7 linked regions of the Xenopus tropicalis genome follow. The protein of the gene in region 4 interacts with the protein of the main gene of each other region in a biochemical or structural test. Links are inferred from orthologs where the notes say so. Each region holds a gene or a part of one and is shown on either strand. Other genes may lie near its edges. The genes, in order: rrp1b, ppp1r10, sfi1, ppp1ca, akt1, mapt and mphosph10.

What was found.
Region 1: the proteins of ppp1ca (region 4) and rrp1b form a complex in vitro, tested with the Homo sapiens proteins (4 studies listed by BioGRID and IntAct, with this or other methods). The link is inferred for Xenopus tropicalis from reciprocal best matches to the Homo sapiens genes PPP1CA and RRP1B.
Region 2: the proteins of ppp1ca (region 4) and ppp1r10 form a complex in vitro, tested with the Homo sapiens proteins (2 studies listed by BioGRID). The link is inferred for Xenopus tropicalis from reciprocal best matches to the Homo sapiens genes PPP1CA and PPP1R10.
Region 3: the proteins of ppp1ca (region 4) and sfi1 form a complex in vitro, tested with the Homo sapiens proteins (2 studies listed by BioGRID and IntAct). The link is inferred for Xenopus tropicalis from reciprocal best matches to the Homo sapiens genes PPP1CA and SFI1.
Region 5: of the proteins of ppp1ca (region 4) and akt1, one has a biochemical effect on the other in vitro, tested with the Homo sapiens proteins (3 studies listed by BioGRID and IntAct, with this or other methods). The link is inferred for Xenopus tropicalis from reciprocal best matches to the Homo sapiens genes PPP1CA and AKT1.
Region 6: of the proteins of ppp1ca (region 4) and mapt, one has a biochemical effect on the other in vitro, tested with the Homo sapiens proteins (2 studies listed by BioGRID). The link is inferred for Xenopus tropicalis from reciprocal best matches to the Homo sapiens genes PPP1CA and MAPT.
Region 7: the proteins of ppp1ca (region 4) and mphosph10 form a complex in vitro, tested with the Homo sapiens proteins (2 studies listed by BioGRID and IntAct). The link is inferred for Xenopus tropicalis from reciprocal best matches to the Homo sapiens genes PPP1CA and MPHOSPH10.

What each region holds. Positions count from the first base shown.
Region 1 is NC_030678.2:1,570,394-1,573,736, reverse strand, and holds the end of rrp1b (ribosomal RNA processing protein 1 homolog A), read right to left. Parts: exon of another isoform or gene 3,253-3,343; intron 3,244-3,252; coding exon 3,224-3,243; intron 3,109-3,223; coding exon 2,992-3,108; intron 2,889-2,991; coding exon 2,473-2,888; intron 2,287-2,472; coding exon 2,125-2,286; intron 1,692-2,124; coding exon 1,625-1,691; intron 1,202-1,624; coding exon 1,053-1,201; 3' UTR 501-1,052; downstream 1-500. UniProt on the Homo sapiens protein: Positively regulates DNA damage-induced apoptosis by acting as a transcriptional coactivator of proapoptotic target genes of the transcriptional activator E2F1.
Region 2 is NC_030684.2:75,449,240-75,453,237, forward strand, and holds the start of ppp1r10 (serine/threonine-protein phosphatase 1 regulatory subunit 10), read right to left. Parts: upstream 2,801-3,998; 5' UTR 2,168-2,800; intron 2,034-2,167; 5' UTR 1,491-2,033; intron 1-1,490. Other genes in the region: mrps18b (28S ribosomal protein S18b, mitochondrial), read left to right, coding at 3,019-3,078.
Region 3 is NC_030677.2:152,105,396-152,109,638, reverse strand, and holds the start of sfi1 (protein SFI1 homolog), read right to left. Parts: upstream 2,801-4,243; 5' UTR 2,697-2,800; coding exon 2,674-2,696; exon of another isoform or gene 2,648-2,673; coding exon of another isoform or gene 2,643-2,647; intron 2,279-2,642; coding exon 2,123-2,278; intron 1,625-2,122; coding exon 1,553-1,624; intron 1-1,552. UniProt on the Homo sapiens protein: Plays a role in the dynamic structure of centrosome-associated contractile fibers via its interaction with CETN2.
Region 4 is NC_030685.2:492,457-494,965, reverse strand, and holds part of ppp1ca (protein phosphatase 1, catalytic subunit, alpha isozyme), read right to left. Parts: intron 2,456-2,509; coding exon 2,324-2,455; intron 2,245-2,323; coding exon 2,014-2,244; intron 1,939-2,013; coding exon 1,834-1,938; intron 616-1,833; coding exon 392-615; intron 1-391. UniProt on the Homo sapiens protein: Protein phosphatase that associates with over 200 regulatory proteins to form highly specific holoenzymes which dephosphorylate hundreds of biological targets.
Region 5 is NC_030684.2:99,749,721-99,753,741, forward strand, and holds the start of akt1 (RAC-alpha serine/threonine-protein kinase), read right to left. Parts: upstream 2,801-4,021; 5' UTR 2,715-2,800; intron 2,461-2,714; exon of another isoform or gene 2,371-2,460; intron 2,231-2,370; exon of another isoform or gene 2,078-2,230; intron 2,040-2,077; exon of another isoform or gene 1,813-2,039; intron 1-1,812. UniProt on the Homo sapiens protein: AKT1 is one of 3 closely related serine/threonine-protein kinases (AKT1, AKT2 and AKT3) called the AKT kinase, and which regulate many processes including metabolism, proliferation, cell survival, growth and angiogenesis.
Region 6 is NC_030686.2:17,262,018-17,265,517, reverse strand, and holds part of mapt (microtubule-associated protein tau), read right to left. Parts: intron 2,924-3,500; coding exon 2,814-2,923; intron 1,337-2,813; coding exon of another isoform or gene 1,213-1,336; intron 1-1,212. UniProt on the Homo sapiens protein: Promotes microtubule assembly and stability, and might be involved in the establishment and maintenance of neuronal polarity.
Region 7 is NC_030679.2:97,027,954-97,031,914, forward strand, and holds the start of mphosph10 (U3 small nucleolar ribonucleoprotein protein MPP10), read left to right. Parts: upstream 1-1,161; 5' UTR 1,162-1,186; coding exon 1,187-1,278; intron 1,279-3,035; coding exon 3,036-3,723; intron 3,724-3,961. Other genes in the region: fan1 (fanconi-associated nuclease 1), read right to left, coding at 1-205, 886-904. UniProt on the Homo sapiens protein: Component of the 60-80S U3 small nucleolar ribonucleoprotein (U3 snoRNP). Required for the early cleavages during pre-18S ribosomal RNA processing. Part of the small subunit (SSU) processome, first precursor of the small eukaryotic ribosomal subunit.

The sequences.
Region 1 (3,343 bases), on a different chromosome or scaffold from region 4:
ATAGTTTTATGGTATCTCTCTGTACAGGCTATGGGCAAACTTAGGGGCTGTTCCTGCTGAATTGTGCTTAGTACAGGGGAATCCCTATGTGCCATAGTTTTATGGTATCTCTCTGTACAGGCTATGGGCAAACTTAGGGGCTGTTCCTGCTGAATTGTGCTTAGTACAGGGGAATCCCTGTGTGCCATAGTTTTATGGTATCTCTCTGTACAGGCTATGGGCAAACTTAGGGGGCTGTTCCTGCTGAATTGTGCTTAGTACAGGGGAATACCCAAGCTGGAGCAGTTATGGTCAGTATAGACTATGAGCAAACTTTTGACATTCTGGGCTTAATGGATTGGGGGTCAGGCAACACCATGTGATTATGCCAATGGCTGCCGGGGTAGAGTAGGAGGGGCATCGGCACTAAGGCCCCTCCCCATTTGGAAAGGGTGGAAATAGAATTCCTGAATTTCTAAAAAAATAGATCAAGACAAGAATTTTTTTTTTTTTTTTTTTTTTTATACAACACAGACCGATCTCATTAATACCAGTTTAACCCCTTCTCAACCATTAAATAAAAATATAAATCTCTCCTTCCTGCCCATTAAAAGACCCCTCCTCCCTCGGCTTTTGAATAAAGTCACATTCAGTGAGGGCCTTGGGAATAATGGTACGGCCCTGGGAATAATGGTACGGCCCTGGGAATAATGGTACGGCCTTGGGAATAATGGTACGGCCCTGGGAACAATGGTACGGCCCTGGGAACAATGGTACGGCCCTGGGAACAATGGTACGGCCCTGGGAACAATGGTACGGCCCTGGGAACAATGGTACGGCCCTGGGAACAATGGTACGGCCCTGGGAACAATGGTACGGCCCTGGGAACAATGGTACGGCCCTGGGAACAATGGTACGGCCCTGGGAATAATGGTACAGCCCAGCAGCTTCCTTGGGTCCCCGGCTGGCGGGGACACAGCATATTCTGCTCCTGCTGCTGGTGAGTTGGGTTGGATCCACTGAACAGAACCACAAGGCACCACATTCACTGTGCGCTAGGGGCGGGGCAACACTCAGAAAAAGTCTGCGGCGCGGGCCCGGGGGGCGGGACTTGACGTGGGAGTTTTCAGGACGCCGTGATCTGGTCTCTGCTCCGGGTTAAATGGGACTCGGGAGGAACCGGTCGGGCTGACAAGGAGGCTGCGGTCTGTCCTCTTGAACTCTATGGGGGGAAATGGCAGATTATAGGGGCCCCCATAATGATGCCAGCAGGGCAGGTACTCGGAGTAGGAGGGGCCAAGAGTAGGAGGAGCCAAGAGTATGAAAAGTAAGGCATGCTGGGAAAGGAAGACAATCTGACATGGGGTGGGGTGTATATAAATGGGGGAATGGGGTGTATATATAAATGGTGGGGTGGGGTGTATATAAATGGGGGGGTGGGGTGTATATAAATGGGGGGGTGGGGTGTATATAAATGGGGGGGTGGGGTGTATATAAATGGGAAGGGGGGTGTATATAAATGGGGGTGATTATAAATGGGGGGGTGGGGTGTATATAAATGGGGGGGTGGGGTGTATATAAATGGGGGGGTGGGCTGTATATAAATGGGGGGGTGGGGTGTATATAAATGGGGGGAGGTGCTTACCGGCGGTCATGTTCTTGTTCAGGCTGAAAGTGACTTTCTTGGATTTGCCGCCCATCTTGGTGGGAACCTGGGAAGGGAAAGCAACAAATAGGGTCAAACTGTACAAACCCCACGAGAGCGCTGACCCAGCTGGCACTGGGGCCACATCGGCCCTGCTTGGATTCGGCTAGTCAGCCCCAGGCATATTGCCCCCCAGCACACTAAGTAGAAAAGGGGTATGAGCCCCTGATTGGGCTGCACAAGGGCTGAGTGGCCTCTCAATGCATCGGCCTGGGGGAGGAGTTATTATTTCACAGGAACCAATGGTTCAGTCAGGATTAAGCCCCGCCCCTGCTGTATGTTCATGGGGAAGAGAGCAGCCCAGAAGCAGGAAGTACGTAGAATCTGTACATGGGCAGGTACTGTACTGCACCCAAGAGCTTCCCCAGTCAGGCATTGCCCCCCAGCCCAACACCCATGGGTACCCCATTACAGGGCACCCCCTCACCCCCCCAGTTTACCTGCCTGCCCCTGGCCTTTGCCGGCTTCACATATACAGGTTTGGGGGAATTTGCCTTCTGGAAAGACATGAAGTTTTGGGGAGTCGACGTCACTTCCTTCCGGGGAGCGAGCGGCCTTTCCTCTGGTTCTGGAGTAGAGGATCCCATTGGCTGCTGGGAAATCTGTAACAGATCACATGATATTGCAGTGGGCAGCCCCGTGTATATGGGCCATACAGTCACAGGAAGTGGGTATGGCAAGAGATTCCCCGATTGGCAGCACTGGTGCCCCAGTAATACTGCCCCCTCCTCTGTGGGACCCTCCCTTAGGGCCGGGGGCTATTGCTTACTGCCCCCCCAATGTCTCACCTTGCACTTGCTCCTGAGCAGCCGGAGTTGCCTCCTCCTCAGTAAGGACCCAGTCAGGGGCAGAATACGGAGGCTGGTTCGGATCAGCCCAGCCCTTCTCCTCTTCCCGGGGGGTTTCTTTGAGAGGGTTGGGGTACAGTCTGGTGAGGGGGTCGGGGCAGGTTGGGGCGACCCCTTCTGTTCACTGTGATTTTCTGTACAGCAGCTTTGGGCCACGCCATTTTGGGAAGGTTGGGGGGCTTGTTCCTGGCTCGGGGTGTTGTTGTTTTCATCCGTCTTCCTCCTCTTACGTTTCTTTTTTGCTGCAGGGGGGCCATTTTTTAATTTGGACTCGTCCGGGGCCACGCCCACTCGCTTCCGCTTCTCCCGTTTTTTTTCCTTGACTGCGTTACCGTCGGAAAGTCGGGATACTATTCCTGGAGAGAGAGAGAGGCAATTGGGAATAAACCCCCCCAAACCTCTCCAGAACCCCTCCCACCTCCCAAGGCGACTCCGCCCCCCTCAGACCCCCCCACTCACCATAGGACCCATTCTCTTGCGCCCTCTTCATCCTCTTGCGGAACAGCCAGCTGCTGTAATCATCATCATCCTCGTCCGTGGAAACCTCCTCCGGGAAGTCCTCGCTGGGGAAGATCCCTGCAAACATGGAAATGATATTAGGACCCCGGAGCGGGTGGTGCCGGGGGGCCCCAAGCAGCCAAACGGAGCATTAGGGTGAATGTCACAGAGACAAGAGCAGAGTCCGACCCACCTTCAGCCAAGTCCCGGAACCTGAAAGGAACAAGAGAAAGTGAGTATTGGGCTCCTATTGGGCTCCTATAGCGCCGAGATACAGAATGTACTTGGTAGGAACCAGCAGTGCAACACTCTC
Region 2 (3,998 bases), on a different chromosome or scaffold from region 4:
CTATATCTAACTGGAATGTTGGATAACAAATTGCAAAAAAAAAAAAAAAAATCTTTCCTCTGATTTTCAAGATGACTATTAGTACATGTAGACACCAGAGGGCGTTCATGAGATGAGCAAAGGGCCAGCCATATACAGTCTAGCATGCCTGCCTCAGCGGGAAAACAAAGAGAAAGGAGGAGAGTCCATTTTAGAGCTACAACATGCTAGATGTTAAAACAACAACTGAGGCAGCCATTTTGAAGGGTTTAAAAAAAAATATGTACTGAACAGGAAAAAAAATTGCTGTTTAACTGCTTGTTGCAAAAGAACCACAGTTTGAAGATGAAACAATACATTTGCCATACCAAACCTCCCTACCTAAATAGGAAATACGGGGTGCTACTTTATAGCTATGTAAATATAAAAATATACAGCATCCGGCAAAAATGGAATTCATGAGATGAGAAAGGTTGCTAAAAATCAAGCTGATGTATTAAGAGAAATATGATGTTCACAAAATAGTTACAAAATTCCATGTACAGACAACTAATTATACCAAAATAAGTTTTGCATTTTAGCCTATTATAATCAAAATTTACTATCGCACAGGACAGTAGTGGAATGAAGGCAAGCAATCTTTATTGATAGATTGCACACAATCCTCTTAGGTATATTCTCAGTCTGCCAGGGGGTGAAAGAAAAATGACACGACTGCTGTGCAAACAGTGATTCCTCGAGGACATTTAAAATTGCAATTATTACAGTAATTGGAATGTAGAATGATAACAAATTGAGTGTATAGGGACAGGAAGTCCAAAATTAGATATTTCAATCCATGCGGATTTCCCCTTTTATACCTCCCTACCTTGCCAGCTCAGCACATATTACTGCATCTCTTTGTGGAACTATACCTCCCTGAAGAACTCACGAGTCTTTCCCTGCAATCTTTATGTACAGATTGCTCATGATTCTGTTCACTACGCACCTTGAACTGAACATAAACCACACGGGGAAAAACTGGTCTTATATCCCTTAAGTAAACAAAGGATGCCGTCTCCCACACCGAGATAATGCGTTTGCTTTTTTTGAACAAAGCCCTGACGCCATCTTTGGTATGGGAGCTCATTTTTGTCGCACATCCTGTCAAAAACGATCAACCTCACTGCCCAGACTGCCTGTAGAATGTAGCTGTTATTAAAATATGTGCCTGGACAAAACTTACTACGGATACTTATTGGTCATTTATCCTTTAGAACTTAGAAAGCGATGCCAATGTTTGAAAAAGCTATATAAAAAGTTGAAGGGCTGATAGTTGTCTGCAGGTATAACCTTCTTTCAATTTGATTCAAACAAAATACAGTTTTATCTAGAATATGTCCAAGATGGATTTGCTAGAAATCTGCTCTTGCTGGGACGGCATTAAATTAGCTGAACCCACCAAGGGTTTGAGGGTAAAGGGTTGGTGGGGGTAAAGTTGTTTTCCAAGGTCGTTCAAAAGCAACACTTACTATCCAAAATTCTCCTTCACCTCTTCGTACGTTGGAACTGGGCTAAAAAAAAAAAAAAGAAAAAAAAAAAGAAAAAGTGGGGGTGGGGGCGTATTAAGGAATATATCCTCTTAAAAAAGTTGCCTTGGGATTAAGACCACACAAAGGCTGTGGTCGGCATTGTATTCAAAATTTAAGGTTTATAGGGCTGGCCAGCTGCCATTACCTTACAATTATCAAATATGCCCTTTTCAAGCTCCAAATAGAAAAAAAAATAAGTGAAAGAGGATATATTTTGAACGCCTGTATTTTAGACTGCTAACTATTAATAAGAGCCCAGAGTCTCCTTATTTAAAGGGCAGATAAGCATATAAGTTTATAAAAAATTTTAAAAAAGAATTAAGAGGAAAACGTGGTGTAGAAGGTGTGTGACGAGGCTCCCTTGTATTTTGGTCTTCTACTGTTTCCAAAATTGAAGGTCCTTGATCTTTTGATATTAACTTAAACTATTGTCCAACAGTTTGGTGCGACGATGAAGCCAAGTTGAACACAGGTAGGTAAAACCTAAAGAGAAAAATAAAATCATAAAACACGTGCACAATCGATACCCGAAACACAACAATTACACAAAAGCAGCCCCCCTCAAGGTCACAACAATAAGGACATTCTCTGTGGACACCACTCAACAAAACACCTACCTGACGACAAAGGCTGGAATGGCGCCGTTGACCAAACCGCAAGTTTAAGTAGCCTCGGAAGCGTCACGGAGTGTGGAGGCGGAGCAATCAAAAAAGCGATACACGATTGGTTCGACGAGACGAGGCAAACGCTAAAAAATGGTGGCAACTAATGACATCACTTCCATCAACCAATGGCCGTCGAGTATGTAATTGCAAAAGAATTAGAGATTCTAGGTTGGTTTGTTTTCCGAAAGGTGATTTTCTTTCATAAAACGTATTTAATGGCGAAACAAACCGTGAACGAGCAGTGCTAAATCTCAATGTTCATAAATAAAAAACCGTGAAACAACGTGTCCTTTTTCAATGACGCAGCAAAAAAATCCCGCAGCGCTTACGTAATCGAGGCCAACGCCCTTATTGAAAGACAAAAAAATACTCCTTAATTATAGCGTGAACATCGTCTGATCTAAATACGTTTAACTAGCGCTGCCCTGCTCTAGTTCGTGCTTAAATTACGGAGATCAAACCGAAGCAGCTGAGCTATAGGTTGATTAGGTTAACCACCCATGTAGCTACAAAAATAATAGAGCTTTAGTGCCAGACATATTCAATATATGGTATCTAAAGCCTTATTGTTATGAGCAGTCTACTTGGTTTAATGAAGTTACAACCCCGGGCAGGAAGCGATTCTTTCAGGCACGAACCCTTTCAATAACTTCAAGGTGTTGAAATGTAAGTGGCTGCTTGTTCGTATTAATAAAGCTGGTATTGAAGCAGCATGCTGAAAGAAAAAAATGGGGCTAAGTGATTGGTTGATATTTTCATGACGTAAACGACAAGGTGCCCGTTCTACATCACCTTCTAGTAAAATGGCTACTTGGTTGGGTGGTCTAGGGATATCTACAATCAAGAAGGCGCTATGGTGTAAGGTAATAACATTTAGGGAGACGTTATAACTAAAGAGAAGTGACAGATGTATAGACTAAATATGTTGGCTGTCTTAAGGTAATTATTTTAAGATTTAGTAACCCATCAATCGTTACTGTCGCTGTAGATATGCTGTAAAATGGTGGTGCCTGCATGCAGAAGCAACACGGTTTGTGGGTGCCCTTGTTAGCAGGCGGAACAGATGTTCCAGCTGAACTTGCACATAACACTGCACGCATATGTGTAGGGCTGTGGCTATTATTTTCTCTAATATCCGAATATACGTAAGGTAGATTAGTGTTTACCGTATCCCTTTTAGGGTCATAGGTGTCAGTTTTGTTTTAGTTAGATGGCAACGTGAATTGCCTTAGATACATTTTGCATGTATGTATAACTTTAGTAACAGTCCTGCTAGTATACACACCACTGTACAATTTTACAGTGTAGAAAAGTAGTTACAGTAAATATACAGGGATTAAGTGCTGTGTGATAAGAGACCTAATAGAAAGGAATACTGCCCATAAAGTCTTATGCATGCTCAGACGAACATTTCCACAGAATAAAGCAGGAACAGTGAGAAATCTTTTTAACAGAGTGCATATGTTCTTTATCATTTCTGTTTAGATTTGTCTCCTCTCCTCTTTAATAGAGATCACATATTGAATCCACATTCTGCATGGCTCATTAATAAGTCATTTAGATGCTATCTACTGACTGAGCTAAATTAATGTGCATCCATGCAGCATGTACAGTCATGGCCAAAATTGTTGGCACCCCAGAAATATTTCCAGAGAATCAAGTATTTATCACAGAAAAGTATTGCAGTAACACATGTTTTGCTATACACATGTTTATTCCCTTTGTGTGTATTGGAACAGAACAAAAAAGGGAGGGAAAAAAAGCAAATTGGACATAATGTCAC
Region 3 (4,243 bases), on a different chromosome or scaffold from region 4:
TCAAACACAAAAGAGCAAAAAGGCACATATTTACATAGCAGATAACAGATAACCGATAAGCTGCATAGAAAATAAAGTTTAAGGGCAAGGGCACATGGGGTGGATTGTCAGCCTGTGGATAATTTCTAGTTGTGCCTGCATCTGGAAGCAGTGAATCCGCCCAGGTTCACAGATCTGTTCTGCCTACAATGTATATCAGTTGGGCATGTCTCCCCCACCCAAATGGCATCATTTGTACTGCATATATCCCCTCCGCTTGCCAGCACCATCACATTTTCCTAAAGCAAATTGTAGCTTTCACCTGGTAGCCATTTTTCCTCTGATACATAATTGGATACATTTAAATGTGCAAACAGCATACACACAGACCCTTATTCAGCATACATTTCATCAAGAATACAGGCTTACACAGGCAGAACTGCCTTTGATAAAAGTAATGCTTTGTTTGAGCACTGTAATGGTAAATCTGAGTCAGGAGAAAAAAATTGAAGCAGACAGCTCAGCTGAGTTTCTATGGGAACCAGCAATGCCATCTCTTTACTGGCTACTAGACTGGGGGTTGTGTTTAGTAATCTGAGCTTAGAACAACTGAGCATGCTCACACCCCAACAGCCAAAGCAAATTCCTGAGGGAGGGGGCCGAGTGGGTTAGAGGAGGAATAAGAAATCTAAGTCGTTAAGGGGATGCTGCAGCCTTACTATTAAAGGAGAATGCAAGTCAAAATTTAAAAAGCATACTGCCCAATAGTCCTCCTATTGTTTAGTAAAAATGCCACACTTTTGGCTCACCTAATCAAATATTTACTCAGTCACACTTACTTCACATTTTCTAGAACAGGCAGCCATCTCTAAAAAGGTATTCTCCCTTCCTTTCCCTCCTTGCTTCATACTGCACATGTGTTTCATTCCCTCCCTCCCCCCCCCTCCTCCTCCCCTCTGGCAGATCCGCTTCTGATTGGCTGGTGGGCATGTGTAGCTCAGAACAGCAGACAGGATCAAGTTACACACATGCTCAGAGAATAGGAAGGCTGCCGCTGGCAGGCTACAGGAAGGGCAGAGAGATTTCAGTGATGTCACTGTAGTCTTCACACTGCTGTAGGCTGCCAGCACCATATCTCAGAGAAGAAAGCAGGGATCTGGGAATTTAGATATGCAGTAAGTACTTAAAAAGAATGCCTTTAGACTTACTTTGAATTTATATTAACCTTTCATTGTCCTTCAACCTCTGGACAACCAGTGTGGCAGGTATTGAAATATTTCAAAGAGGCTGTTCACTGATTAATTTTTTGTGTGTGGGGTTTACATGTCCTTTAACATATGATAACATCACAGTGACATATTTTGGTACCAATTACATGGAGTATTCAGTTTGGGCTTTTCATCCTGTGTGGGCTGGTTTTCCCTTATACTTGCATGCGTAACTACAACTTGGCACCCAGGTATTTATTTTGTTTAATGTGTGCCCTCTACAATGTTATATATAATACAACAAATGTACAGAAAGTATATGTATATGTTTTGCACATCCACCCCCCCCTTGTTTTTGTTTTTACCTGGCAGTAGATGGAAGGACTCTTCCAAATGTTTTTTTCACCCACAAGTAAAGGAATTTTCTGGCCAGATGCCTAAAAAAAAATCATAAAAATGAATTCATGGATATTTTTATAGAGACTGCTCATTTCAGCCTCAATAACAGTAGCCTACAATACACCGCCTCTATTCCACTAGTTACATTTCACAAATAGCAAGTATGAAGAAGTTTATCACTTATAATAACATTTTGTACACCTTACCTTCTCTTTAGAGGCTTATGTGAATGCACTGTTGCACCAATGACTAAGAAAAGTAGCTGACATTGGGAGAAATCAATGTGACCAGTAATAACCCTGTAAGTAGCATTAAGTTTATACCAGGTATAAGCAAACATCACTGGTGATGTTGCCCATAGCAACCAATCAGATCTTTGCTTTTGTTTTCTAACTTGTAGGTGAACGTTCAAATCGAATTTCTGATTGGTTGCTATGGGCAACATCCCCAGTGATGTTAGCGTACACACTATAATAAATATGCCCCCTACTGTATACTATGGCCATTAGTTATTGGATTATGTATTGGAAACAAACCTTATGCGCAATTCTTTTAGCCTCCCTCCACGGTTCCATGTGTATGTCACACGATATGGTATAAGACGGCTATTTTGGGGGCGCTGGTTTCCAGATGTGACAGGAGGATCAACTTTACGCTGTCGTTTTGAATTGAATGACTTTGCTGTATTGTGCCTGGAAACATTAAAATAAATAAATAAATTGTTTTTGTTAAAGTGACAACAGGCAAACGTGTCATAAAATACTGCAGACCAGCCAGACCTACAACACCCATCAATGAGTGGAATAATGGTCCCACATACTAATACAGATATTTGCAATCATTTCCCGTCCTTGATTATCATCAGTGCTGAGATGCAATTTGTATTTTTTTTGCAATGCTCAACAGCATAAAAGGGAGAGTGCACCTAATACAATGCAGTCTAGCTTGGCCACAAGAAAGTGATTTTCCCGTGATTTATCAGACTAAATGTACTGCAGTGTGTACGTATTTGCCAAAGAGCACAAACACGACAGTCCGAACCCTAAGAATACTAACTCCATCGCCAAGATTTAAGAGTTTGAAGTACCGGACTGTGACTGGAAAATCCATCCCGTCTCACTTGCATCCAGTTTAGTTCCGGTAGCTCCGCCTACCGATAAACGCGCGCCCTTCTTGCCGCTTGTTGTTACAGCAACTAGAAGTTGAAAGCGCATGCGTACTGTAACACCTGGTTTGTTCTGATGCTAAAAAACAGGCGGATGGAATAGCCGGCATATATTTATTAATGAGATTTGTGAGCATGGGCTTAGAGATAACGCTGCATGTATTACAGGGGCAGGTCAAGGGAGGCGGCTTTAGGCAAGGTAGTCATTTGGGGGCACCGTACCGCTGTGTCCATGTATACTATAGATAATTGTTAATTATCCTTGCCTGGCTCCGTTTCACACCTGGTAATTAAGGGCCTATTTTGTGTTAATTGTGTTTCTCCCCAGCCACTAGCAAGGATGCAGCAAGTGTTTGTTAAGTGCAAATAACTGCGCTATAGCCAATGACTAGATTATATCAATAGTATAGTAACTGCCTACTACTTCATAAGCGTATCGAATTAGCGAAGAGTAACCTATCACGTGATCTGTTCAGCCACAGGCTTCAGGGGGTTAAGTTTCCGTAGGACCGCCTTGTTACGTCACGGGCTGACGTTAAACGTCCGGGGTCCACTTGACGTAGTCGTTTCTCGGTTCTTGGGTTGGTCGGGTGTGTAACAGGAGAAGTTACTGGTGAGTCGTCAGATTCCGGGCCCTCGGAGGCCCAAGTAGCGGCCCACAGAACCATAACAGGTATGTTAGGAGGAGTGCTGGAGCCGGTACGTGCTGTGCGACTTTTACGTGCGCTACGTATTGTACGTCGATCGGCGTGTGCGCGGCGGGGGGTTTTAGAGGGAGGGGAACCGGGAGAAAGCGGGGGCGTGCTCAGGTGAACTAGGGTGTATGGAGGGTTTGTAAGGCAAGGATTTAGGCGTGTGGGTGAGTTTCTGGGGTTGTTTTGTTTGTAGCGGGCGTAGGGAACTCGTGGCTTTCATGTTCCGTTCATGTTGGGGTGTATACCCTTCCCCAATTGTGCATGGGCTTCCTCGTATGTGGCAGGTGCATGTTATTGTATTGGAACGGGTTATTTACCCGGTGCCCTTGTGTCCAGGGTAAAAGTTATTAGGGCTCTTTAAGCTTCGTGCTTCGTGGCCCCTTATTTTGAACTACAGTTCAGTAGCTACTTTCTAATTCCCTTGTTGGGTCTGTGAATGTGGCATTTATCGTATCTGTGTGTCAAGTGCTTTTTTTTTTTTTTTTTGTCAGTGTCTTGCTCAAACAATGTCTAGTCTATGGTTTTTGAACTACAGTTAACTTCACACCATGTAAAGTCTACCTAAGGAGCTATGTGAATGCCTGTAGCATATGGCTTTCCAGCTGCTAGTCTTTATATTAACTCTCTGCTAGTGGCTCTTAGGGGGAATTTAGTACGTTATCTCCATTGGTTGCATATTGCTTAGTTATCTGTATAAGCATGGCTGTCTGTCCATTCTGATGTTGACCTGCATCTCCCAGAACTCTGTTCTATAACCCCAAACTGAAAAATGCCTGGTATATTAAAATATAAAAATT
Region 4 (2,509 bases):
GGGAGAGGAGTAAGGAATGGGCGGAGCAGACGTACCGTGGGGTGGGAATGGGCGGAGCAGACATACCTGGGGTGGGAGAGGAGTAAGGAATGGGCGGAGCAGACATACCTGGGGTGGGAGAGGAGTAAGGAATGGGCGGAGCAGACGTACCTGGGGTGGGAGAGGAGTAAGGAATGGGCGGAGCAGACGTACCTGGGGTGGGAGAGGAGTAAGGAATGGGCGGAGCAGACATACCTGGGGTGGGAGAGGAGTAAGGAATGGGCGGAGCAGACATACCTGGGGTGGGAGAGGAGTAAGGAATGGGCGGAGCAGACGTACCGTGGGGTGGGAATGGGCGGAGCAGACATACCTGGGGTGGGAGAGGAGTAAGGAATGGGCGGAGCAGACGTACCTGGTGAGCTCGGCAGATGAGGTCAAGGTCATGTTTGTGAAGAAATTTTGCTACTACATCAGCCCCAAAGGTGAAGGAGACCCCGCGGTCGTTCTCCCCCCACCCAAGCACATCTTTGTCCGGGTCCGACCACAACAGGTCACACAGGAGCCCCTGGTCCGGTACATCGGTGGGACGCAGGATCCGTCTGACTTGCTCCATGGACTGTAGGTCGGGGGAGAGGCCTGAAACACAAATGGGGATGTGAGTGGGGGGGGGGGGGGCAGGTTCTGATGGATCCAGAGTAGGCACAACTGTATACCGGGGGGGCACACTAGCTGTACAGTATAAGAAGGTGTGGGGTTCCCGGGGGGGCACACTGGCTGTACAATACAAGAAGGTGTGGGGCTCCATGGGGGGGCACACTAGCTGTACAGTATAAGAAGGTGTGGGGTTCCCGGGGGGGCACACTGGCTGTACAATACAAGAAGGTGTGGGCTCCATGGGGGGGGCACACTGGCTGTACAGTATAAGAAGGTGTGGGGTTCCCGGGGGGCACACTGGCTGTACAGTATAAGAAGGTGTGGGGCTCCATGGGGGGGCACACTAGCTGTACAGTATAAGAAGGTGTGGGGTTCCCGGGGGGGCACACTGGCTGTACAGTACAAGAAGGTGTGGGGCTCCATGGGGGGGCACACTGGCTGTACAGTATAAGAAGGTGTGGGGTTCCCGGGGGGGCACACTGGCTGTACAGTATAAGATGATGTGGGGCTCCCGGGGGGGCACACCGGCTGTACAGTATAAGGTGTGGGGCTCCCGGGGGGGGGAACACTGGCTGTACAGTATAAGGTGTGGGGTTCCCGGGGGGGCACACTGGCTGTACAGTATAAGGTTTGGGGCTCCCGGGGGGGGGCACACTGGCTGTACAGTATAAGGTTTGGGGCTCCCGGTGGGGGCACACTGGCTGTACAGTATAAGGTTTGGGGCTCCCGGGGGGGGCACACTGGCTGTACAGTACAAGAAGGTGTGGGGCTCCCGGGGGGGGGGGCACACTGGCTGTACAGTACAAGAAGGTGTGGGGCTCCCGGGGGGGGCACACTGGCTGTACAGTATAAGAAGGTGTGGGGTTCCCGGGGGGAGCACACTGGCTGTACAGTACAAGAAGGTGTGGGGCTCCCGGGGGGGGGCACACCGGCTGTGCAGTATAAGAAGGTGTGGGGCTCCCGGGGGGGGCACACTGGCTGTACAGTACAAGAAGGTGTGGGGCTCCCGGGGGGGGGGGCACACTGGCTGTACAGTATAAGAAGGTGTGGGGCTCCCGGGGGGGGGCACACTGGCTGTACAGTATAAGGTTTGGGGCTCCCGGGGGGGGGGCACACTGGCTAAGAAGGTGTGGGGTGTGTATTCACCCCATTTGGGCTGCCCAGACGAGCCCTGAGGGATGGGGGCAGCAGGGAACTCACCCCCGTGGCAGCAGAAGATCTTCTCATCCACGATGGCGGCCACGGGCAGGCAGTTGAAGCAGTCGGTGAAGGTTTTCCACAGCTTAATGTTGTAGCGCCGCTTACCTGCAGGGGGAGACAGAGGGCATTAGGGAGCGCACTGGTTACCGTGGGTTACAGCCTGGCCCCGCCCCCGCGTACACTCATCGTAGAAGCCGTAGATGCGGTTGATGCTGGCGCACTCGTGGTTCCCGCGCAGCAGGAAGAAGTTCTCGGGGTACTTGATCTTGTAGGCGAGCAGCAGGCAGATGGTCTCCAGCGACTGCTTCCCCCGATCCACGTAATCCCCCAGGAACAGGTAGTTACTCTCGGGGGGGAAGCCCCCATACTCAAACAGGCGCAGCAGGTCGTAGTACTGACCGTGCACATCCCCTGGGGGGAGGAGAGGGAAGCCAATCAGATCCGCAGCTACACACAGAGGCGGAGCCTCGGCACCCAGGGCCCTACTCACCGCAGATCTTCAGCGGGGCCTCCAGCTCCAACAGGATTGGCTGGCTGAGGAAGATCTCGCGGGACTTCAGGCACAGCCCCCGGATCTCATTCTCCGTCAGCTGAACATTCTTCCCAGGGCGGCAGCCTTTAACTGTAGGGGGGGAGGAACAGGCCAGTCAGGAACTGGGGAGGGGGGGCCCCGTTA
Region 5 (4,021 bases), on a different chromosome or scaffold from region 4:
CAAGTACTTGACACAAAAGTCATAACAAACCAATATTCTGCTTCCTACACTGAGGTTTTGCCACAGACTCTGTACAGGAGTTGAAATGCTGATTTAGTTATATTTTCAGATTTATTTTGTTTGTTTTCTGCATTTTCCAAGCACTGCCTACTGTTGCTTTCCCTACAATAATGCAGTGCAGTTGAACCTAAGATTATTTACGAATAGGCGTCAAACCTCAAGGATATATACTTGGGAGACATGTCATACAAAGTTTTTTTCTGAATTAATTTATCCTTATGCCCAACACTATCCTACAACAATATAGCATAAACATTTCTAATAAACTTCAAAAAACTATTTTTATATGTTCTTTAAATATATTTGTGATCTAACTTCTGTATATGTGCATGCTCAGAGAAATATACCTGAACCAAAGTGGAATACAATATAAAATCAAAGCCAAATACATATTATAGGTAGAATGAAAGGTTACACTATACAAATGCACAGATAAGTTTACAGTCAAACATTGGCTTTAGCATACAAGTTACCTACTGTATATTCTGCTTAGTTAAGAGTAAGGAGAGAAGGTATTACCTTTAAATGCAGGATGCTTATAAATAATGCAGGTCAGTTGCACCGGCTCCTATTTAGCCCAGCAGCATGATCATGTTTTTAGTTGCTTCCTGCATTCAAGAGAGTTTGGTCTCCCAAACCAGCATCAAATCAGCAGTTTGGTTTTTCATTCACTGATCACTAGAAGAACAATGAACTACAATTTTTTTTTATTTAATTTTTTTTATAAAAAATAGTAGCAAAAGTTAATCGGGGCCCAGTTTATTAACCTATACTCTTTTTTTTTTTTTTACATTGTTGCAATAGCAGACACTGAATAAAATCCAGATGACTGCACATAGAAAGGACATGTCATGAAATTTTTTGTTTTTGTTTTTTTTAATTTAGCGCACTACATAAAGGTGACACACAGCATTGGACTTGTGACACAACCAAACTGTTTTTTGATGCAAATAATCTAGTTGTTTCTTGATTTTACAGGATTTCTGTACCTGCAATACTAATCTAGCTAAACCATGAGCGAACATCTTATTACTTATTCAGCTGGAAATTAATGTGCGCATAAACCCCGAGAAACATTACTGGAAAATACATTGCCTAAGAAAAACATCACAATAACGACTGGGTTAATTGTTGTGCTAAGTTACTGTGGGGAACTTGCCAAATGCCAACCACATGCTTACTGCAACCTACTTTTAACTGAACACATATATATATATTTTTCAGGTAAACAAATTTCACAATACTGCTATATTCCTCGAAGTCTGGATAGCAACAGTAATCCACAGTACTTGATTGCTCAGGCCAGAGCGAGGAAGTGTCAAACTCAGCCAGCACACCCATACACATTAGAGCATGTACACAGGAAGTGGGCACGTTTGGTGGGGGGACACACAAAGAGCACATCAGTTTCAGCAAGTAACAGACTACATACATAACACAACAGTCTAGAAGTAAAACACTATCTTGTTCAGAGATGTAAGCAAAAGAAATGCTAGTGCAATAGGATAGCTTTTGTTACAGCCCAAGGGGGATATTACTAGATTTCACCAGGGTGTCCGACCTGTAGCATTGCTTGCTGTCAGTGAATTACAACTCCCAGCAGCCTATGACAGCCTTCCGCTGCGGTGGATGTCAGAGAGTTGCCATCTTATGACAGCCAGAGGGCCACATGTTGGACAACTGAGTATATAGACTGGATAAGAAGCAAATGCAGCACATTTCTACCATCTTTATATAAATATATATACATACATGTTTTCCTGCCATCTTTTTAAAAAGCAATGCTGCCAGCCCCCCTGCAGAGCAGCCATAGTTCCAGCCACAGCCCTTCCCTGGAAATTAACACTGTTTATGAACAAACATACACACATCTACACAACAGGAACATTATACACATCCTGGGTTGCACTGAAGGCGACAGCATTGCCCTGCAGGCAGTTTGTGTAGCAAGACTACTGGGATGTGATTGATTTTTGGCGCATTTGCATCAGCTGCAGTTTGCATGCTGCTCTCTTACCGCTACCCCTCCTGCAGAGCACTAAACAACGCCAGGCCCTGACAGGGCTGTAACACTGACCAACACCCCCATGCCTCTCAGGGTATTAGGTACTGTCCTGCTTTAACCCTGTCAGTGACATAAGGCCCCCCTGGTGCATTGCGCAATGATCGATAGGGGGAGGCTTTCTGACACCTAAAGGGTTAAAGGATTATACCAATAAATGGAAGAAGAAAAAAAAAAAAGGGCGTGGGTGCTGGCAGAGGGTGGAAGACAAAGGTTAGGAAATGGAAGTGCCGGGCGGTTTGACTTACATGGATGCAAGAGGTATTACTGAGCTGAGTCTGGAAGAGGAGGGCAGCCACCGAGTTGGGAGGGGGGCTTGGGGCCTAGCGGTGGATTACAGCCAGCTGAAGCCTCACCATCACCGAGGGGAGCAGGAGAGGGAAGGGAGAGGAAAGAAGGGAGGAGAGGAGAGCAGACACAGAGGGGGAGAGGGTGGGAGGAGGAGGTGGGGAAGGATAAGGCTGCTTTTGCTTGTAGTGTTGCTGCTGCTGCAGATTCAGCCCATTGATTGCATGGAGGGATGGGAGGAACCGGCTGCTGCTGATGGTTGGCAGGAGAGTAGTGCTGCTGCTGCTGCTGCTGCTGCTGTCACCTTGCTGCCACCCTGGGATGTGGGTACTGCTGCCGCTTGCAGGATAACTGCCTCGGCTCTGCAGTCTTCAGCCTCGGATCATTCTCCTGTGCATCAGCTGTGTGTGTGCCCGTCTCTGTCTCTTCCTCCCCTGCACACAGTGAGCAATGGCTCTTCCTCCCCTGCCCAAAGCGATCCTCCCTCCTGCCTTCTCTTCCTTTCTCCAGCCGCTGTCTATGGGTTTCCCTCTGTGCCTCTTACACCCTGCCTCCAGATGACCACCGGGTCCTACCGCCCGCAGGCTTCAAAGCTGCAGCTCAGCTAGGAAATCCATCAGAGCACAAAGGGAGGAGCCTGAGCGCTGCGTGAGTAGCCAGCAGCCAGGTGAGACTTAACCCGTGTGCTGCTCTCTCCGCCAGCAGTGTGGGCTTTAGCTACAACGCGCTTTCAACGGGGCCTCACTCTTCACTATTCTATGGAAGGGCATTGACTAAAGTCGCTACGTGTATGTATATTGACACAGAGCAACTTCTATTCTATAAGCAGGCAAATACACACGCAGTAATGCAGTGCAGGAAAATCAGCTAAAATTCTTTGTTAATGTACATATAACCACCCTAAGCTTTGTATTTAACTATTGGTATTTGGCTTTTGCAATATGTGAGGGAAGTTAATAAATATTTAGGAAAACTGCGAGGCCCTGTTATCTGTATGACATAGGACTCTCCCTGAGAGTGCTGGGAGTTGTACCTCAAAGCCACATTCTTGCCCTATTATAAATTCAATTCAATACTATTTATGCTGTGTTCCTGGGCCCACTATAACAGGGTTGCCCCAGTATGGTTTTTGTAGTAATATAGTAAATAATGTATCCCCTTTTGCAACTCTGGACTGGGAGTCAAAATAGGCCCTGGTATTTTAGGTGCATAGAGGCCCAAGCAGCCCCCACCACAAGCGCAATCATTTGTGACTGTCTATGGCGACATTTGCCAGAATCCAAAGATTTCCAACCTGGGCCTGCCCTATTGTTATTCAAAACAATATTAGAAGCCACACAGGAGTTTGTTTCCATATAAAAACATAAAACTGCATGCCAGGTGCTTTTATAAAAGACTCTTGCAAATAACAATGGATGATGCATTATCATTTTTTAAAGGAGACATACTGGATAAATGGGAAAAAAACCTAATTTTGTAGGCAATTCCAAATAATATATGGTGCTGGTTTCATGGCTGGATTTCAAAACTCACCGCCCCCAGGCTGTCCCCGGTCCCACGCCCCCCCCCCCCCCCCCAGCGGTAGTGTGCAGGCGCACGGGGGGTGCGCGC
Region 6 (3,500 bases), on a different chromosome or scaffold from region 4:
ACTTGTCACTGCTACCAAACCCCAGAAAATTCCCTGTCATAGACAATACTGAGAATTGCCTCTACTAAAACACATGTAGACACAGTTATAAGTAAATAATCATTGTCTATTTTAGTAGCTGTGACCAATAGCTGCTACTAGTAGCTCTGTGTCTTCACCCTAAGGGCTCTAGCACACGGGAAGACTAGTGGCCCGCAACAAATCTCCCTTGTCGCGGGCGACTAATCTACCCGAAATGCCAGAGTAGAATGTAACTAGCGTGTTGGTGTATCAGTGACCCTGAATGGAATGGACTATCAGTACTAGAAGAACTTATGGTGGACCCAGGCCCTAGTAGGCCTCAGCCTAAGAGAATTCCCATCAGCCCATCTTTATTTCCAACATGGGTCATTTGGCATTATTTATACCTGTTAGGGAACAGGTATAAATAGTGCCAAATGACCCATGTTGGAAATAAAGATGGGCTGATGGGAATTTTCTTAGGCTGGGGCCTACTAAGGCCTGGGTCCACCATGAGTTCTAGTACTGATAGTCCATTCCATTAAGGCTCACTGATACACCAACATGCTAGTAACATTCTGCATTGAACTGATACTTTATATTAAAATGTATTAGTTTCCCTTTAAAATTAGATTTCGAGGGCTGGGATGCTGACAGGGACTATTGGGTTATATAACATAGGCAATCTGTGGTGTTGGACTACAAGAACTGTCCAGCTATCAACATGACTTAAGGTAATGGCTTATTAGCAGCCACTTTTTCGGTAAACTTTGTATAAAATACTTGTGAAGAAAAGCTTTAGCTCCTAGTTGTTGCTCTGTGCTGAAACCAAATACAATTGTAGAAATCCAAAAAAAAACTAAGAGAAAAAAGCTTCAGAAGGTTTCCTGCCAAATATTTATTGTGGGTAGTGGTAACACGACATGTTTCGGGTCAATACCCAGTACCAGTACGCTTGATAAAGGGTATTGACCCGAAACATGTCGTGTTACCACTACCCACAATAAATGTTTTGCAGTAAACTTGCTGAAGCTTTTTTTTCTTTGTTTTTTGATTTATTACTGGAAAATGGGTTCCTGTAAAATAGATACCATACTGGTGCAAGTATAATATGGCCAATATGGCAATATAAAGCTGCTTCAGTCCTAGGCTTGACACGAGTCAGAGTACCCCAGGAAGAAATGAGAGGAGCCTGGGCAACTGGGTACTTACCATTCTCCTGTTCTACCAAGTCTGGCACCTCTGTTTCTTCAGTCAAGGGGGCAAGAGGGCCTTGTAACAGCCCATTAGGAGGGGAAGGGGTATCCCCTGTCTGCTCTTCATTCTCTTTCTCTCTCTGGAGGTGACAAGATGGAGTGGGTAGGGAAGGGTGGGGGGAATCAATTAAAAGCATGCGGGTTGGGGAAAAATGGCAGGAAAAATGAAAGCACAGATGGGAAGGAGTTAAGGGGACCCTGATGCCACCAGCAGACCCACCCTATGCGAGCACCATACGAATATTGCTCCAATAAGCCATAGAACAGTACACACTCTGCCATAATGGCCTTTGCTAATATTCTCAATCCTATACCTGCTAGAGAACTGTGTAAAGGGCAAGCTATTACTGTATAACATGTCTGTTAGTCTCTGTCCAGCAGAGGGCACTATTGCTCCATTATCCATAACAATTTTGCCCTCACTGCTATTATTACAAGGTGCTGTTGCTAAGGCACAAACGTGCAAGAGCAGTGATGTCGTACTGTCTCCCAATTAAATAGGCCAGTTATTTCCTGCTTAATCAGGGGGGTGGGAAGCATTTTATAATATAATGATGGTGATGATGATGACAAAAGAGGTCAACAGAGCACTTGCAAATTAACATAAGAACTTGGTCTCTTGGAGGGAGTCTCACTGGCCGCACAACAGTTACAATTCTCTATATACCCCCCTCTGACTGCCTGTTTGCTCTAGTTGGTGGCATTTAGTCATAAGGGGGAATTCTAGGAAAAGAAGGAACCTTTGACATTGCAATGGAAGGAGGAGGGATATACCAAATCCACAATTGAGCAGCACACAAAGCTGGCAGAATCCATAGTGGTCAATTCAAGCCCTAAAGTCTCGTGATTTTAAAGTGCCAGACAACTGAAAGCTAAACATTTTTTACAATCCAATTTTTGGTGACTTTAATCTGATTTTGCAAATTAGAGTTGGGACTTAATTCCGTATTTGGACAAATCTCTTGTAGGATTTCAAATCTGGCTGAATGTAAATATGATGGATTTGATGCATCCCTAGGTAGGAGCCATTTTGCACTGGGTTCCATTAAGATGAATGGGGAGGGGGATGGTGGACACAGATAAAGGCAGATTACAGTGAAGCAGTGGGGAGTGAATTGGAAGGAAAATGTTTTTGGTGAGAGAGAAAGAGAGGCACGTGTGAGAGGCCAGAGCATAGCCTTAAGGAAACACCTATGGAGGGAATGAGCCCAGAGCGTGGCGCCCATGCCCATAGCTGCACTTACGCCCGCAGAGCCACTTCTGTCGGCTTTTTTTAACACTGCACAAAGTGCTTAGAAATTGTTAGCAAAAGCAGCAGAGAAAGGTTGGGCAAGGGTTAGTTGCAGGGGGCAGGAAGCCAACACAGCATGGATGCCCAAGTGGGTACTTCTCTAGGATAATCTGATATTTCAATCCTGCAATTATGTCCTATGCAAGAAAATATCCTTTGCTAAAGTCATAATCTGCCCACTATGCCAGGACGCCATGGCAGTGACCCAGGGATTGCTCCATTCTGTCTTGGCTTCCTGTTCCGTGCCCGTCTCTAAGCCATTGTACCTTTTTTGCGCCCCCTCCTGGTGTATGGGTTATATTGTCCAGGGATCCAATCTTTGACTGAATCTTGTCAAATTCCAGTTTCTCGGATTTTACTTCCACGTTGCCTCCCCCTGTGTGAGAGAGAAAAGGAAGTAGGTGACCGCCATGTTGCGTACGCTGGCCGGGCTGTTAGGAAATGTTGCAGTATACAGGCATGCTATATAGGCATCACACTTTTAGATATAATGTGGATGAATAATGTGATTGGGTGGATTCTGATTACTGAGTACACAAGGACAGCCAGGTGGAACGGAACCCCAACAGGACAAGAAATAATGGGAGTGTTCTCTAGACCCAGTGGCCATGGACCTTATACAGAGCGCAGCTGGCTTCTAAGCCAAGGTGATCCCTTGTCAGGCCCAGAAGATACATGAACAAGTCACAATCAGACATCAGTTAAGAAGGACATTATTTTGAGCATACAATATGCTGTTAAACTTTTTAAAAAAAATTGATGTAACATCGGTGATAGTGCTTTTCTGAACACTTTTGCAATTTATATTTACTTTTTTTTTTTTTTTTTTAAAAATCCAAGATATTAAGGGTTTAAAGTACTGTTAATATGAATGCATTTTGTTACAGCAGCACCACCTGCTGGTCAGTTTCCAAACACAAAGTAGTCACGGACGTTGTCAGGAGAAATTAAAA
Region 7 (3,961 bases), on a different chromosome or scaffold from region 4:
TTTGCAGGAGGTGCATTTTTAAATAGGGCAATAATTGATGGAGACACTGATGTTTTTCTTGGTGACTGAATGTTTTTTAAATTGACATTAGGTTTTTTTTTTGATATGGATAGACTTCTGCGGGATTTTTTCTTTTCAGGAGAATTCATTTCTGATGTACTGGGATATATACTTTGACTAAGCCTCTGAATGCATTGTTCATCTCCTGCAAACACAAGAAAGATTAAGTAGATAGAGGACTGCCAAAAGAATTATTTTTTGTCACAATTAAATTAAAAAAAAACAAACAAACAAACTTTCTATTATGTTTACACATTGAAAACCAGTATATTTTTTACTGGCCGGGTCATATGGTAGCAACCTTTGCCATACAATATGAATGATTATATTATGATCCCTTTCCAATAACGTGGTTATTATACAGTGTTAGCAGACTACAAGTGTTAATTCTGACTTTAGTATCAATAAACAGCCTTTGTGCAGTTTTTAAAACCTGGACCATTCCCAAGAAACAACCATTTCTATAGACATGTAAACCCCAGGACTATATCAAGAAATAAGATTGTAAGCTCTTTTGGGCAGGGCCCTCTTCACCTCTTGTATCGGTTACTGATTGCTTTATATGTTACTCTGCATGTCCAATGTATGTAACCCACTTATTGTACAGCGCTGCGGAATATGTTGGCGCTTTATAAATAAATGTTAATGTAATGTAATAAGAAGGTCTGGTGTAATTAACTCTCATAGATGGTAGTGACTGGCAGTAAAATGTAAAAGCGAAGTACCAAAAATACACACCAAGCAGCTGGTACTAAAACATAATTAATGACTCAATTTTGAAACAAGCAGCGTATACGTGAGTCTCAAATACCCCGCTTTTCTTACCTGTCACAATCCAAGGCATCCGCCATGTTAGCGAATCAGGATAGCTTTATTGGCACAGACAATACTGCCAAAAGTACTTGCATGAAAGACCTTTTTCGCAATTACATGTTACCATACGCCATAGTGTAAAGCAAGCACATATGCTAGACATATCCTACTCGGATATCAGTCAGTTTGTGTGTCTTACTGTACTTACGGAACCATAGCACTGTAGCAAACGTTTCCGGCCGGAGTGGTTTCGTAGGCGCACTTCCTCTTCTCTATGGAACATGTGAGTGAGCTGCGCTGATCGTGGCAAAGGATGATGGCAGATTCTGAAGAACCGAGGCATGGGCTGGAACAGTGCATGGAGGTTCTGGAATTAGTGAGTGCCCACCCGGAGCAGTTGCTGAGGTACAGAGAAAGAACCCTTATTGGCTGCTATATCCTCTTAGCCTATGATTATGCTGTTTATTTCCATCGTTTACTGCTATAACATTTGTGTGTGTGCTGGACTAAATCCTGGAGACTCACTGAGCTGCCTGTGCCAATCACTGAGAAAAACCATAATTACATAAAATAATTAAAAATAAACTGGCAAGGATACTGAAGATTTGTTTAATCTCTGTTCTTTAAAATGCAAAAAAAAAAAAACAATAGTACGTAAAATCTTCCATATCCACACCAGAACCACACATAATTAGACCTTTATTATACACCTTTATTTCATATCCTTAAAACGCTTTAACCATTTTTTTTGAAGAGTAGAAAAGTGCTGTTTTATGCATTATATATATATACACACTATAGTTATGGTGTCTGTGGTTGGAGCTTATGCATCTGAACCATTTATAACCACTGAGCGACTTTGCTTATTCTCTCAATAACAATCTTATAGTTTGAACAGCTTGACATGTCTCAACACATTGAAGGACTTAGGGCATTGGGTACCCAAGGCACACTTTTATAATAAATGAATTCAATTTGTTTTTTTACTTAATGTTTAATAGGACTATGCTGAGCACGAAATAGAGAAGTTATATGTGAAAGAGGTAGGGGGGTAACACTAAAATGTGTTTTAAAATAATTAAAATTTAATGTGCTGTTGTCCTGCACTAGTAAAATGCCTACTATATACTATTATATAAACAAAGCTGCTGTGTAGACATGGGGGGAAGCTATTTAAATTAAAATAAGGCTAAGAGCGCTGCCAAACTTGGAGATTAGTCGCCCCCACAATTAATCTCCTTTAGTGTGGGAATGTTTTCCCACCGGCAATAATGTCAATCACTGGTGGGAAAAAAAAAATGTGTTGCTTCGGCTTTCCAAAGTTGCCCATTTTCCTCTCGAAGCAAACTTGTGGGAGACTTCCGAAAGCCGAACGACTCATATGTTTTCCCAATGGCAATTTACATTATTGCCAGTTCAAAAGCATTTAGAAGAGATTTGTCACTGCCGTGGGCCAACTAATCTCCTCTTGTGTGAGGGTGCGTAATGGCACAGGTTTCATAGGAGATCAAAGATAAGCTCTGTAAAACACCATTGCATTCTACAGAACTATTTGTTACTTGGTATGCATTTTCTCCCTTTTCCCATCTTTGGTTGCACACTTAACACCAAGGCACGTATAGCTGTTGTGTCAGTATGTATGTATGTATGTATATCATTATTTATAAAGCGCTACTTATGTACGCAGAGCTGTACAGTAGAATACATTAATACAGTTTGTTTGTATGATACTGTCCAGTGCTACACTCTTGTTCTCTGCTCTATTGTGAGTGTGATATTTTTATCTATTCTAAACTCTGCTCTCTAGTAATGTGGGCAACTGTTAGATTTTATAAATATAGGTATGGGACCTATTATCCAGAATGGTAGGGACCTTGGGTTTTCTGGGGGTTGTTTCATCATTAACAAAACCAATAATATTTTTTTCTCCAATAAGGATTAATTATATCTTAGTTGGGATCAAGTACAAACTACTGTTTTATTATTACAGAAAAAAAGGAAATTCATTTTAAAAATTAGAATTATTTGCTTATAATGGAGTGTGATAACAGGTTTCCAGATAATGGATCCCATACTTCTACATTGTAATAAAGTACATATGATTTTTTTTTTTTTACTTATTTGCAGGAGTATTTTAAAATACATTTGTTTTTTTTTTTCAGTGTGCAGGATGAATTGGCAACAGAGTTCTCTTGTTTAACAAAAGCTCTTTATGATTTGCAAAAGTCACAGCTTGCACTAGAGGTGGGAAGCCCATTGGAAAAGCTGATTATAGAGAATTTTGATGAAGAGCAAATATGGCAGCAACTAGAACTGCAGAACAATGCTGTTCTTGGCTACTTCAAGAAAGCAGTTAGTAAGACACAAAAAGACAAGGATATTTATCTCATACAGTCAACTGAGGAAGAGCCATCAGAATTGGAATACGAAGATGAGGAAGGTGTGTCAGCAGAAGAGTCAGAGTTAATTAGTGAAAATGAAGATGAACAAAGAACTCAGAAGAAAAAAACTGCTGATACTAAAAGACCAAAGAGAACACCAGTGGAGGCATTCAGTGATGATGATGATTCAGATATGGACTTTGATATTGATAAACTGGAGAAGCAGAGTCAGCAGATACCAAATAAAAAACCAATGGCTAAACCTAGTGAAAAGTCAGTACTTGATGACAAGTTCTTTAAGTTGTCTGAAATGGAGGCCTATTTAGAAAAAGTCGAGAAAGAAGACAGTGAGGAGGATGACGATGATGATGTTGATTATTTTGAGGATATTGACTCTGAAGATGATGAGGAGGAGGAGGAAGAGGATGATATGGATGAAGATTTTAACATTACAAAAAGCAAAGAACAGGTAAATTGTGCACTAATAAAGCCCACTAATCAGAAAAGAGCAAATGCAGCCCTGCAAAGCATTTGGACATCCGTATAAACATATGAATGTCACCTCAAGGTGTGTGGGTTGAACATAAGCTCTTCAGGATGTTATGGTCTGCATTGAATAGGCAGGCATATATGGTTGGTAAAAAAAGAAAAACAGCTAAAGTAACAGGTTTGGCAAATGGGTAATTTTTAATGGTATGCATAATGTC